2 linked regions of the Drosophila melanogaster genome follow. Each later gene encodes a partner of the first gene's protein in a complex. Each region holds a gene or a part of one and is shown in the gene's direction. Other genes may lie near its edges.

The links. Proteins that work in one complex are often made in the same cells at the same time.
Region 2: the proteins of pAbp (region 1) and Unr are in contact, whole or in part, in a crystal structure (PDB 7ZHR), measured with the Drosophila melanogaster proteins. Residues at the interface, in NP_476667.1 of Drosophila melanogaster: Asn184, Tyr186, Lys188, Ser211, Lys213, Met215, Phe225, Phe227, Ala229, Tyr255, Ala257, Arg258, Ala259, Gln260, Lys261; in NP_648226.2 of Drosophila melanogaster: Leu843, Glu844, Thr845, Thr846, His847, Asn848, Gly849, Val850, Glu870, Ile871, Leu872, Asp873, Glu874, Thr878, Val879, Ile880, Ser881, His883, Leu902, Ile907, Asp908.

The regions. Positions count from the first base shown.
Region 1 is NT_033778.4:18,138,157-18,146,113, forward strand, and holds the start of pAbp (poly(A) binding protein), read left to right. Parts: upstream 1-1,921; 5' UTR 1,922-2,176; intron 2,177-2,620; exon of another isoform or gene 2,621-2,798; intron 2,799-3,218; exon of another isoform or gene 3,219-3,260; intron 3,261-3,331; 5' UTR 3,332-3,350; coding exon 3,351-3,516; intron 3,517-4,645; exon of another isoform or gene 4,646-4,782; intron 4,783-4,843; exon of another isoform or gene 4,844-4,986; intron 4,987-5,022; exon of another isoform or gene 5,023-5,168; intron 5,169-5,256; coding exon 5,257-6,741; intron 6,742-6,810; coding exon 6,811-7,064; 3' UTR 7,065-7,118; intron 7,119-7,185; 3' UTR 7,186-7,957. Other genes in the region: Pcl (polycomblike), read left to right, coding at 1-617, 685-1,080.
Region 2 is NT_037436.4:8,438,665-8,443,419, reverse strand, and holds the start of Unr (upstream of N-ras), read left to right. Parts: upstream 1-1,712; 5' UTR 1,713-4,755. UniProt on the Drosophila melanogaster protein: RNA-binding protein that acts as a regulator of dosage compensation in both males and females.

The DNA.
Region 1 (7,957 bases):
CCAAAGATGTGTATGAGTTTAATACAGATGAAGATGACCCAGTCGAGACCAGCGAGGACGAAATACCCATCAAACAGATTATTGAGAAGGCCAAAAAGCAGGCCGCTCAGAAGGCCGATAAGCATGATGAGTTGCCACTGAAGCCGGACCTCGCCGACGACAATGCCAACGATGGCGATCCCGGCAAACTACCAGCTCCCATTCCACCTCTGCTGGACGCAAACAGCAGTCGGAAGCGCAAGGCTTTCCGATTGTCCAAACGCTATGACAACAGCCGCAATCACTGTGATCTATCATCCGACGAGAATTCAAGCAGCAGTCGGGGAACCAGTTCGTTGGACCTCATCATACCACCGCCGGTCAACTTTTTGGGACGCAACAATCCATTCCTTATGGCCACTCCCAAAAAGGCGTCGCAGGGACGAAGTATTTCTGTGGGAACTGGAGTCGGAGTAAATGGCATCATAAACAGCATTTTCAAGCTTAAGGGCACCTCCAAGGAGCAGCCGCGCATGGTGCGCACCATCAAGCGAAGACTGAGTGCCAAAGACATTACGATAGGGCCCAATCAGGAAGTGCGCAGACGACGCACTCGCCGCCTGACCACGGCCATTGAGGTAAGAGTTTAACTAACAACAATGTAACTATAATGTTTGAGATGTTTTTTTCGTTTCCACTTAATAGGTCATCAGCACCACCACCATCAATCCCATACCCAGCCACTACCTTCCTATCTATGCCAAAGATCTGCAGCCACCCGCGCCGCCAATGGGAAAGCCGACACATGGGCGCCTGTTGCGCCAGCGACCACAGAAGCAGTCACCCAGCCAAAGCCGCCGGAACTCCACCAGCTCGACGGCAACCAGCAGCAGCAGCAACGGCATTGGAGCCCCAGGACATTCCATGCTGGACTTGAAGCAGTCGGTGAACAAGTACTTTGGTGGCGCTATGAATCGCATAGATGCTGGTGAGCCCTTTGCCATTCGGGCCAAGCGGCGCATGGGAAATGGACAGGTCCAGTACCTGGTGGAGTGGGGCGGAGATACAGCGACAACGGCGATTGGATTGCTTGGAAATTGAACCCTTTGGCATACCGACTCATTATGAATTTTATATTCTTCATTTCCATTATCATTTCTTTTCGTTATTATGTATTAATGAACGCTGCCAACTACGGGCCTCTTTATTTGTTAATGTTTAAAAGTTTATTACCAACCCACTGCCAAAATAGAAAAAGATTGTTCAAAATATTGGTTCAGCATTAAAGCGATAAAATGTTAAATTGTAAAAAAAAAAAACGAAAAAAAAGCAAAAAGCAACTGAATACAGGTTATAATTGTGCAATGGCAGTTAAGTGTTGCAGCAGAACATAAATAAGTTTTCACAAAATTGGTAAAAGTATTACAAGATTAATCTGGAAGCCTATGTAAAATTCGCTGATGAATGAAAACGTATTAAATAATGAGAACAATTCAGTTAAGTTCAGTACTGTACTTTAGCGATACGCCACGCCCATGTATGTTTTTGAAAAATATACCTTCAAATGGGAAAACTCACAAATCATGTCATGCATACAAAAAAAAAACAATTGATATACATACATACACACAAATTTAATAAAATGTAGGACTAGTTCAATAATTTTCACCCATAGTCTAGGCAAAACTACACAATAATGAATTAAGCCAGTACGTTTTATGTTTAACTATTAAATGCTACGAAAAATCAAAATTGAGTTGAAAGCAAACTAATTCTCAAGCCAAGTAAATGTTTGGCCAAACCAGATCGAAATATGTTTAATGAAGTATATAATGCCCAAATAAATGTTTCCGAAATGTCAAATCTTTTAAGATTTTACTCAGGACACGCCAGTAGGCGCCCAAAGTGACACTTCGCTTTGAAGCTTGTCAGGCACCGACGCCTCACACCGCTTCATTAGGTACTCGATCGCCAGATAGGGCACATGCACCAGACGTTCAAAACGGGAAAAAGAAAAAAAAAATTATCCTCAGCCATCCTTGAATGTGGTCTATTTCGTAAAAACAAAAACACAAAAAAAAAACTTAAAAAATTCTTCAATCTCTGTAGTGCCGATTTCCATCGAGAACGAAAAGAAGTACTCAAGCACTTCTCGGAGTGTCGACTTGCAGCCTCATCGCTTTATTCTCTGATTTAGGTAAGTTCGCACAGTGGGGAATTACAAAGATGGGATTCGGTTTTCGGAGCATACGCTAATATCTGTGCAGTGCCAAAAAATCATTTTCTAAAAGTCTACGCTCATTTTTAAAAGAAAAAAAAACTGCATTCCTAATTTTGGATTGTGTTTTATGAGACAAAGTATTCAAGGACATTGGCGAAAATATCAGAACATAAATGAAGCAGAGTTACCAAAGAACCCCTGAAAATGCACAAGTATTTCATGTTTCGGGAATTAGCTAAATATAAAAATTTTTTATGTGTGATGGCTGGCTTTTTTGAAATTCAAAATAATGCTTCGTAATTAGTAAATTGTCCTCACGGATTTTTTAGTGACATTTATTTGTCTCTAACCCTATGTGGCAGCATTGTGCAGTGGGATTTAATCGATACTTTGTGGGGTCATCGCTAACGAATCTCCTCTCTATGAGTCGTGTAGAGTCCGTTTACGTGAGCGGTCGTGGATTCGCTTTCAGCACACGGCTTATCACATATTTTTTGTGAAGAAAAAACATATAAAAAATAAAAAAAAATATTAAAACACAAAAACGTAACAAAAAAAATTGTAAAAAGTAGCAAAAAAAATCGAGCGTGTTTGAGAAGTAAGTACAGTGTAAAGCTATTGGTTACAATGGTGTAGAGAGTGAGAGGGCGCAACGCACGACAAAGCGAATAGGGAAATTTTCCTTTCCCATCGAAATTTGCTTTGTTTGCGGTCGTTCTTCGCTCAAAGATGGCGTCTATAAACGCCAGATTGCCCGCAAAATAGTGGTCTAGGAACTAGTTGTCGCATATTTTCGAGAAAATCAAAGAATTCCCCAAAATTCGATCAGGCAAACGCGTGTCTATCTTTGTGTCTGTGTGGAAATTTTCCAACACGAAGAGAAATAAAAGGGGAGAGCAAAGAGCAACAACAAAGCAAATGCCAACGTTGCCATGTCTACCGACTGTCACATGTACCAGTGTTGCCACCCAGACACACAGACAGAGAGACGAATAGAAGACCGAAAGCCACGCCGCTTTTTTTCTTTCTATTTCACCGCCTGCCTGGTCGAATCCATCCGGTCCGTAAAGATTAAGAAAAAACCCAAAATTCAGTGTCAAAAAAGTGGAAATTAATTGTTAAAAATTGCAGGTAGACCTGATCACCAAATATGGCTTCTCTATACGTCGGTGATCTCCCACAGGACGTCAACGAATCGGGACTTTTTGACAAGTTCTCGTCTGCTGGTCCAGTGCTGTCCATTCGTGTCTGCCGCGATGTGATTACCCGTCGCTCGTTGGGCTATGCCTACGTCAACTTCCAGCAGCCAGCCGATGGTGAGTAATCCCCGCAAAAGTAGTGTAATTTTTTTAGTCTTACTGCCCGCAAAAGTAGCCCCCTTCCGCGCGAAACAAAGAAAACACGTGTGCAGTTTTGCACTCGCTTACTCACACACGCACGCACACTAGCGCATGTCATACAGTGGGGCTAAACGCAAGTCCAAACTGGACTTTATTGAAAGATGTCTTTCATAGGAGACCAGATAAACGGCTTCCAAGTGTTTCATAACTTGTTCCACAGTGCACTGCTTACGTTAATCTCGTCGCGCACACACACACGCACTCAATTCCCGCCAGTGTGTACACACACACACATGATTATATCAGTTCCAGTTATTCTGGATGTATACGATTTGTGCGGGGGGATGATGGGGGCTAAACAGCTGGCTCGTGGCACTCATCAACTGTTCGCCTAGAAATTTCCGTCTCAATTTCGCACAAAATTGCAATTATGATGGAATAATATGGTTCCATACTGCCCAAACTGCTTATCGCAGCCCCGCCCATTGGTGGTTTCATTGTTTCCTTGCCCGTTCTTCTCGTTTTATTCGTGTGATGTGTGTTGTTTCCAAGCGGCAAACTTGCGCGCACGCACACGCCGACGCGCAAAAACATGTGTTCATTGTTGTTTGGACCATTTCTTTTTGGCCTTCATCTATTTTAGGTTATATTCCATTAACTGAGTTTCCGCACGTTCGCTCTTTAGTTTTCGTACTGCCTCCAACTTTTGTTTTGCTTTCACTTTCTCATATCTTCCATACTCTCCGCATTCCATCCATCAACACTTCCAAATTCTTGACATGTCAGTGAACTGCTTTTCGGCCTCTCTTTTAACCATCAAAATCTTGTTTTTACAAAAAACGAAAACAAAACTTTCACTGCGCATAGTTGGTGCTTCTTCGATTCCCGTTGTTCGCTTACATTTGTTTATTCAATTAAGCGCACAATGGCACAAAGCTGGCGGTTGGTGATGATTACGCTGCGTGTGAAAGTCTGTCGCATTCCAGCAAGTTTCTTGAACTCTAGCTGTTAAGGTTAGGTTGGAAAAACAGACCTTTCAAAAATGATACCATCTCGTTCTAGACTAGTAACACCCTAAATGTTTTTCTTTTTTCGATTCATATCTCGCAACTCCTACCCATTGGTTGGTCAGATTTATCTCTTTTTGACACGACTAAGATTCAATGTTGCCAGAGAAAGCAATGCAACTTACCATGTAGATGGCTGATCTATGCCATCCACAGAAGTAGAAGCATAACAAACACTAAATAATACATCATATGATTAGACTCGAAGGATTATGCCCTTTCTTATCTAAGCTTCTAGCAACTTCTACCCATTGGTTGGTCAGATTTAACCCATTTTGACACGACTAAGATTCATAGTTGCCAGAGAAAGCAATGCGACTTACCATGCTGATGGGTTTTGCATACCATCTGCATAACAAACACTCAATGTATCACATGATTAGACTGATAAGATTGTCCTTGTATTTAGACATCTAGCAACTCCTACCCATTGGTTGGTCAGATTCAACCCTTTTTGACACGACTAAGATTCATAGTTGCCAGATAAAAGATCAGACTTGACTTACCATGCACTGCGCTGCTTTTGCTCATGGCCAGTGCAGAAGTTGAAGAGTCACATTGTTATTTAAGCCCCTTCAACTTATAATGATCTTGATATACCCAAATCGTGTCGGTAGTAACCAAATGTTTTCCCGATTTTCATCAACAGCTGAGCGTGCTTTGGACACCATGAACTTTGACCTGGTTCGCAACAAGCCCATTCGCATTATGTGGTCTCAGCGTGATCCTTCTCTTCGTCGCTCAGGTGTGGGCAACGTGTTCATCAAGAACTTAGATAGGGCCATCGACAACAAGGCAATCTACGACACTTTCTCCGCCTTCGGCAACATTTTAAGCTGCAAGGTAGCCACCGATGAAAAGGGCAACTCAAAGGGCTATGGATTCGTCCACTTCGAGACCGAGGAGGCCGCAAACACGTCCATCGACAAAGTCAATGGCATGTTGCTCAACGGCAAGAAGGTCTACGTGGGTAAGTTCATCCCGCGCAAGGAGCGCGAGAAGGAGCTGGGCGAGAAGGCTAAGCTCTTCACCAATGTATATGTGAAGAACTTCACTGAGGATTTCGACGATGAAAAACTGAAGGAATTCTTTGAGCCCTACGGCAAGATAACCAGCTACAAGGTCATGTCCAAGGAGGATGGCAAGAGCAAGGGCTTCGGATTCGTTGCATTCGAGACAACAGAGGCTGCTGAGGCGGCCGTTCAGGCTCTCAATGGCAAGGACATGGGAGAGGGCAAGTCCCTGTACGTGGCTCGTGCCCAGAAGAAGGCCGAACGCCAGCAGGAGCTGAAGCGCAAGTTCGAGGAACTGAAGCAGAAGCGTCACGAGTCTGTGTTCGGCGTTAACTTGTACGTTAAGAACCTGGACGACACAATCGATGACGATCGTCTGCGCATCGCGTTCTCTCCATACGGCAACATCACATCGGCCAAGGTCATGACCGATGAGGAGGGTCGCTCCAAGGGATTCGGCTTCGTGTGCTTCAATGCCGCAAGCGAGGCTACCTGCGCCGTCACCGAGCTGAACGGTCGCGTCGTCGGCAGTAAGCCGTTGTACGTTGCTTTGGCCCAAAGGAAGGAGGAGCGCAAGGCTCATCTCGCCTCGCAGTACATGCGTCACATGACCGGCATGCGTATGCAGCAGCTGGGACAGATCTACCAGCCCAACGCGGCTAGCGGCTTCTTTGTGCCGACCCTTCCGTCAAATCAGCGTTTCTTCGGTTCCCAGGTGGCCACTCAGATGAGAAACACACCCCGCTGGGTGCCCCAGGTGCGTCCCCCAGCAGCCATACAGGGTGTCCAGGCCGGAGCTGCCGCTGCTGGTGGCTTCCAGGGCACAGCCGGTGCGGTGCCCACTCAGTTCCGTTCGGCTGCTGCTGGCGCTCGCGGGGCACAGCCTCAGGTGCAGGGCACACATGCCGCCGCTGCTGCGGCTAACAACATGCGCAACACTGGAGCACGCGCTATTACTGGCCAGCAAACTGCAGCACCCAACATGCAGATCCCCGGAGCCCAAATCGCTGGCGGTGCCCAGCAGCGTACTTCCAACTATAAGTACACCTCAAACATGCGCAATCCTCCAGTGCCACAGTTGCATCAGACCCAGCCAATTCCACAGCAATTGCAAGGAAAGAGTAAGTTTTAGGTCGACTGAAAATATGCACAATTTGTCACTAATGGCACCATTGCTATTTTTCTTGCAGATTCTGAGAAGCTCATTGCCTCGTTGCTGGCCAACGCCAAGCCGCAGGAGCAGAAACAGATCCTGGGCGAGCGTCTGTATCCGATGATTGAGCATATGCACGCCAATTTGGCTGGTAAGATCACCGGCATGTTGTTGGAGATCGAAAACTCTGAGCTCTTGCACATGATCGAGGATCAGGAGGCCCTTAAGGCCAAGGTGGAGGAGGCTGTGGCCGTGCTTCAGGTGCACCGCGTCACCGAGCCCGCCAACTAAGCTCGAACAGCTCAAGCGTATGAACATTTTACAAGAACACTTTACACCCAAAAAGTAAGTAGTCTACAAATTTTCCGAAAAGTTCAAGCTGTCTAAACTCGCCTCTCTTTTGTCCTTGCAGTTTTCCACTAATCTTTCAATACATGAACAACAAAAATTCGCATTCACTGATGCTTTGCGCAGGGGAGGATTGCCAAGGACACACAATTAACACAGAAAAACAAAGCGAAAAATCTACGGCTTTTTCTTTTCTAATCCCAGAAACATCAACAAAAGCAATTTCAATCATTTAATTTCGAACGCATTTACGCAAGTACACGAAGCAAAAGAAGAAAGTCACGCAATCAAATTCTGCAGTCCACTTATAAATTCTTTTTTTTTACATAAACATGTTAATTAAAAAAAAAAACGGAAAAATGTGAAATGAAAAAAATTTCGTTATTGCTTTAACTGGATCGATATTATTTTGTATGCGTATAATGAAAACACCAAAAAACCATTGCAAAATAAACAGATTAAAGCAAAGCATACATGTAAACCGCTTCTTGCAAGTATTGAAATTGTGTTTTAAAAATTTTAAAGAAGTTTCTAGTGTTACATACATATTGAGTTTTTCGTACACTTTTTCCATCCACACTTTCAAACAACAACAAACACGAAAGCGATATGTAATTTTTTTCAATTCTTTTTTCTCAAATTCAAACTTTAAGAAAGCTTTGTTTAGAAAAAGAAACGCGACAACCATACACTTTTAAAAAAGCAAAGAAAAAACAAAAAAATTGCAAAAGAGTTAAAATAAAAACGAAAAAATGGAAAGCAAACTGTGCAGAGAACAGAAGAATAGAAAGAAAGAAAGAAAAAGAAAACCGCAAGAATATGAGAGTCAAGTTTTT
Region 2 (4,755 bases), on another chromosome or scaffold:
TAACCCTAAAATATGCAAAACCAGATGCAATTTAATGTGTGACCAAATCGAAGTGCTCGTAACGTAAAAATTATAAACATGATATTAAATCTTTTTAACTACAATTAGCCCGAGATTTATATTTAGCGAGGGCGTTTTGATAATCTATTCATGTTGATAACATTTTGCACTGTCGAATGTATAAAAGGCACCGTAACCAATTAACTAGATTTTGTAAATTGTAATCTTTAAAAATCTGTTCAAGGATAATCAATTTATCAGCATACATATGTATTGGATCCCATTATCATGCAAAATACCATTTAAGTTAATTATGGATTAAGCAACCAAGGAGCTGCTGAAATAAAATTCGTTAAAAGACCCAGGAAGACGTAAAACTAATGTGATTTTCTGTGGGCTGCTAAAAGGAATCTAAAAAAGGGATTTTTTGTGTTTTATGTTTTATGTGACAGAACTTCCGAAAATTAAGAATTAAACTAAGTGAATACACTTCTGCATTTTTGGGGGAATTCCAATTTTACAAAGATAATAACATATCTTCCATATTTATTTATCAGAACAAATAAAACTAGTTTCATTTTTTAAATCAATATATTGCCGCTTAATAAAAGGCGAAAAGATTTTGGGGTTGGCTTAAGTTAGAAATAGCTAGCGATGGTTCTTGTCTCGAATACGTACAGTTTAAAATTAAATATTTAGATGTAATTTTCTTAGTAATAATCCATTTAATTACATAAATTGCTTTTGTTTATTATTAAAACTAAGAATATTACATAAAAGTCACATACAATTCATATTTTATAATTTGCAGTGATAGCATAGAAAATGACATAGATGTATAACCCTGCACTTCTACTACTTTTAGACATTGCATTAAAGATAGTCCCTTTAACTGAATTAAAGTTAAATCGTTATCTTAGATAAGTTTTGATTATTTAAATATAGGAATAGAAAAGCTAAGAGATCCCTGCTCCTACTCCCATGACCACTGACGTCACAATTGTCCCTCTCTTCGCACACCTTCCAACACTGCCATCGTGCTGTCGGCAAATATGGCGCCCGCTAGCAGTTGTTGTGCTGTCGTGTGGTACGTGTGGCTGGTCCAGAAAATTCTCGTTCGCTTCAAATAGGACTATTATTTAACTCAAATTCGGAACGAAAATATGCAGAAAATGTGCCGCGAACAAAGCTGTGATGGAAAAATATGAAATGTGTTAGGGAAATTAGTTTTTAAATGGCGAATTAACGTTTTTTCGTTGCCCAGCCAGATTTTCTACGCTTCTGTGTGTGTGTGTGTGCGTTTGAGGGTACCAAATTTGCAGCCCGAAAAAAAAGTTGATGAAAATTCGTTTTTTTGCTACCAACTTGGCACTTCGGTGACTGTGCATGTGTGTGTGCAGTCTGCGGGGTTGCTAATTTTACGCTAAAAACCACAACAATAATGTGTAAAAATAGTTTACGATTGCAATTGCGTGTGCGTGTGTATGGGCGTGCATGTGTGTGTGCGTAGTAGGTTGCGCCAGTGTGTGTGCAATTTTTTCCGGCAGGCAAAAATCTCTCCATTTGCAACACTGAAAAATCGATAAAACTGCAGCAAGACTTTCGGTGTAGATTTCACTAGCCAAAAATAAAAGAAATAATAAAAAAGATGTATTAATTTTTCTTAATCGTTTCCACCTTTCTCTTTTTCTCATTCAACAGCTTTTGTAACTAAAACTCCGTTTTGACATCACTTTCATCATAATCTGAAAAAATAATAATAATATAAAAAAACAACAACAAATATGATAAAAAAATAAAAAAATCACCATCGAAAACGAATCAAAAAATAATACATACAAATATAAATCGCAAATAATTGAAAGTTACAGCAGAAATAAAAAACAACAACAACATAGCTCAAAAGGAAAAAGTCAAAGCAAAAACTTTTTAAGTTTTTTGGACTCTTCTTTGTTTTTGTTTCGTTTGCTTTGCAAAGAAAAACACACAAAACAGAAAAAACGAGAATTTTTACGCCGCCCGTCGGTGTGAGCGAGACAGACAGAGAGGGAGATAAAGCGACTGCGCAAATAAAAAAAGAAAACAAAACAACAAACAACATAAAAAACAAGCCAAGCTTGAAACGAAGACTTTCAAATAAAACAACAACAAAACCAACAACAAACCAAACAAATTGAAACGCTGTGAAATTAACTCGTCAATACTCAAAAGCACCAACAAATAAATAAACAAAAAGAAAAGCTAAAACAAAATAAAAGGCAAACCACGAAGGAGCAAGTAAAGCGGAGTTTAACAAGAAAACGGCAAAAGCACTGAAAACAAAAAAGCAACGGGAAACGAAACTAACGTGAAGTCAAAGGCAACGGCGCTGCGGCGTTCGGACTCTCGAATAAAACAAAAACAATTCAAGCAAAACCGCAAAACCTACACTTGGAAAAACGCTAAATAAATCCCAAATTCCTCATTATTTTTCCTGAAAAGCTTTAATTTAATTACGAATTTTTTGTTGTTAAGTCAGAGTGAATTCAATTTGCTAATTAATTTAAATTAAGACATCAACAACCGAGCTACAAAAGCAGCAACAACAACAAACAAACAACAACCAACAAACAACTGAATTAATGTTTTAAAGTACAAAATAACCGGGAGTAAATCAACAACAAATAATTTAAACATATTAAAAACGATTTAATTTAAAACGCAACATCAATCTAAATTATTTAACTAAACATAAAAACAAACACTGCTAGAATTTAAGTCCAAAAACAACTGATAAACGCCCACAAGGGCGAAAGGGAAGTGGGAGACAGAGCGATAAATGGAGGAGAAGCGAGGAGAGCTGAATAAAACCGATCAAGCAACAATTGTGCCGCAAAAAAAGTGTGAATAAAAAATATATACTAAAAAAATAACGGTAACAATAAAGAAAACATTTAAAACCAAAAATCTACAAGAATTCTATAAGTTTTAAGTCACGTTTTACACAGACCTACAACAACAACACCAGCAATTGAACTTAGCCAATAAATTTAATTAAAACAATAAATTAGTGAAAAAAAAATAAACGGATTAAGCCAATATATATAGAGAACGCATAACAAATTCAAAACTGCGGCCTTGTGCCAAAAAAACAGTTTTTATTTTTTCCAATAAAACATTGTTTTTTACTAGTTTTCAATTCAGATTTTTTTATAAGTGTACCTAGTGAGAAATGTTAAAAGTCTAAAACAGCAAAAGCAACTGCAACAAACGGAAGTAAAACGGAGAAAAGAAAAACAAAACAAATTCAAAGAAAGATTTAACAACTCTGTGATAATTACTGTAAATTTATAAATTTAAAGAAAAAAAAAAAACAAAAACCTAAAGAAAAACCACAAAAAAATCTCTAATTAAATGAAAGGAAAACCCCGTCATTTTTAACAGTAGGCGAAGAAGAAGAAGGAGCGAAAGAGGAAGCAGAAAGCAGAAAAACATCTTAAACCAACAACAACTTTACACTTAAGAGCAAATGCAAATGAAAAGATAAAAAACATTGAAACAAATTCGTGATATCTTAAAGGACTTCGATACATATATACTATAGTATATTATATATTATATTATATAAACTATTAAACTAAGCTTAAATCTAGTGAGCGTCAACCGAGAAAACAAAAACAAAACAATGGAATAAGTGAATAAACAACAAAACCAACCAACACAAAGCAAAAAATAAAAACCCTAGGTTATGAAAAGACTTCAAAACGCATTCAAAAAATATATATATTTAAACAAAACAAAATAAATCGTAGACTTAAAGTTCAACATAGTAAATGAGCGAGGATAACTTTACATAACGGGTGTCCTATATCTATTATATACATATATAAAAACAAAAACAAAAAAACATTAAAACTCATAATTTTTGCTTAGTGAATAGTAAATGAAACAGCAATAAAACAGCAACAAAACAACAAAAAAGAAAAAACAAATTATACAAATCGTGCAACCGAAAAGTAATAGCAACGTACAGCGAAACAAAATAGGAAATCGACACAGAAAGAAAGAAAGATACAGAGAGAGAGTGAGCGAGGAACCGGAAACGGAAGTCCCGAGAAGAGGAAGAAGGAGATTTAAACCTCGTCCCCCAAAAATCATCGTTGTACTAAAGGTATTCGAAAGTAAATAAAAAATCACTACTACTTCCTATAAACCACAACGATTGCCTACAAAATATATATTATATATATGTATACTAAATAGAAACCAATATAATCAAGCAAAACACACAAAATATTCAAATATCAAACAAAGCTAATCTAACCCAAAAGTAAAAAGTATTCCCAGTGTATTTTTCTAGTAAAACTAAAGTAAAAATATAAAAAAAAATCAACCAAATTCATTTCAAACAAAATGCAATAATTCAATAATAATTCAAAACTCGAACAAAAATAAAAACACCAACGGCAGCAGAGCTGGTGTGCATTTTCATCGTAAAACCACAATATTTTGAATACACAAAACAAACAAAAAAAATATTTCAAGAACAACAACTTTAAAAAGAAATACAACCTACAACAGACCCAGGAAGGAACTTCAAACTACCAAAACAAACCAACAACGTTACAATATTTGTCGGCATTTTTTACAAGAAATATAAAAACACAAAACAACAAGGAACACAAAAAACCAACAAACAAACAAACCAACAACAGCAAAGGAAAGCTAAGTAAAACAACCACATTTTTTGCGGGGAATGCCCTCAAGAAAAGACAA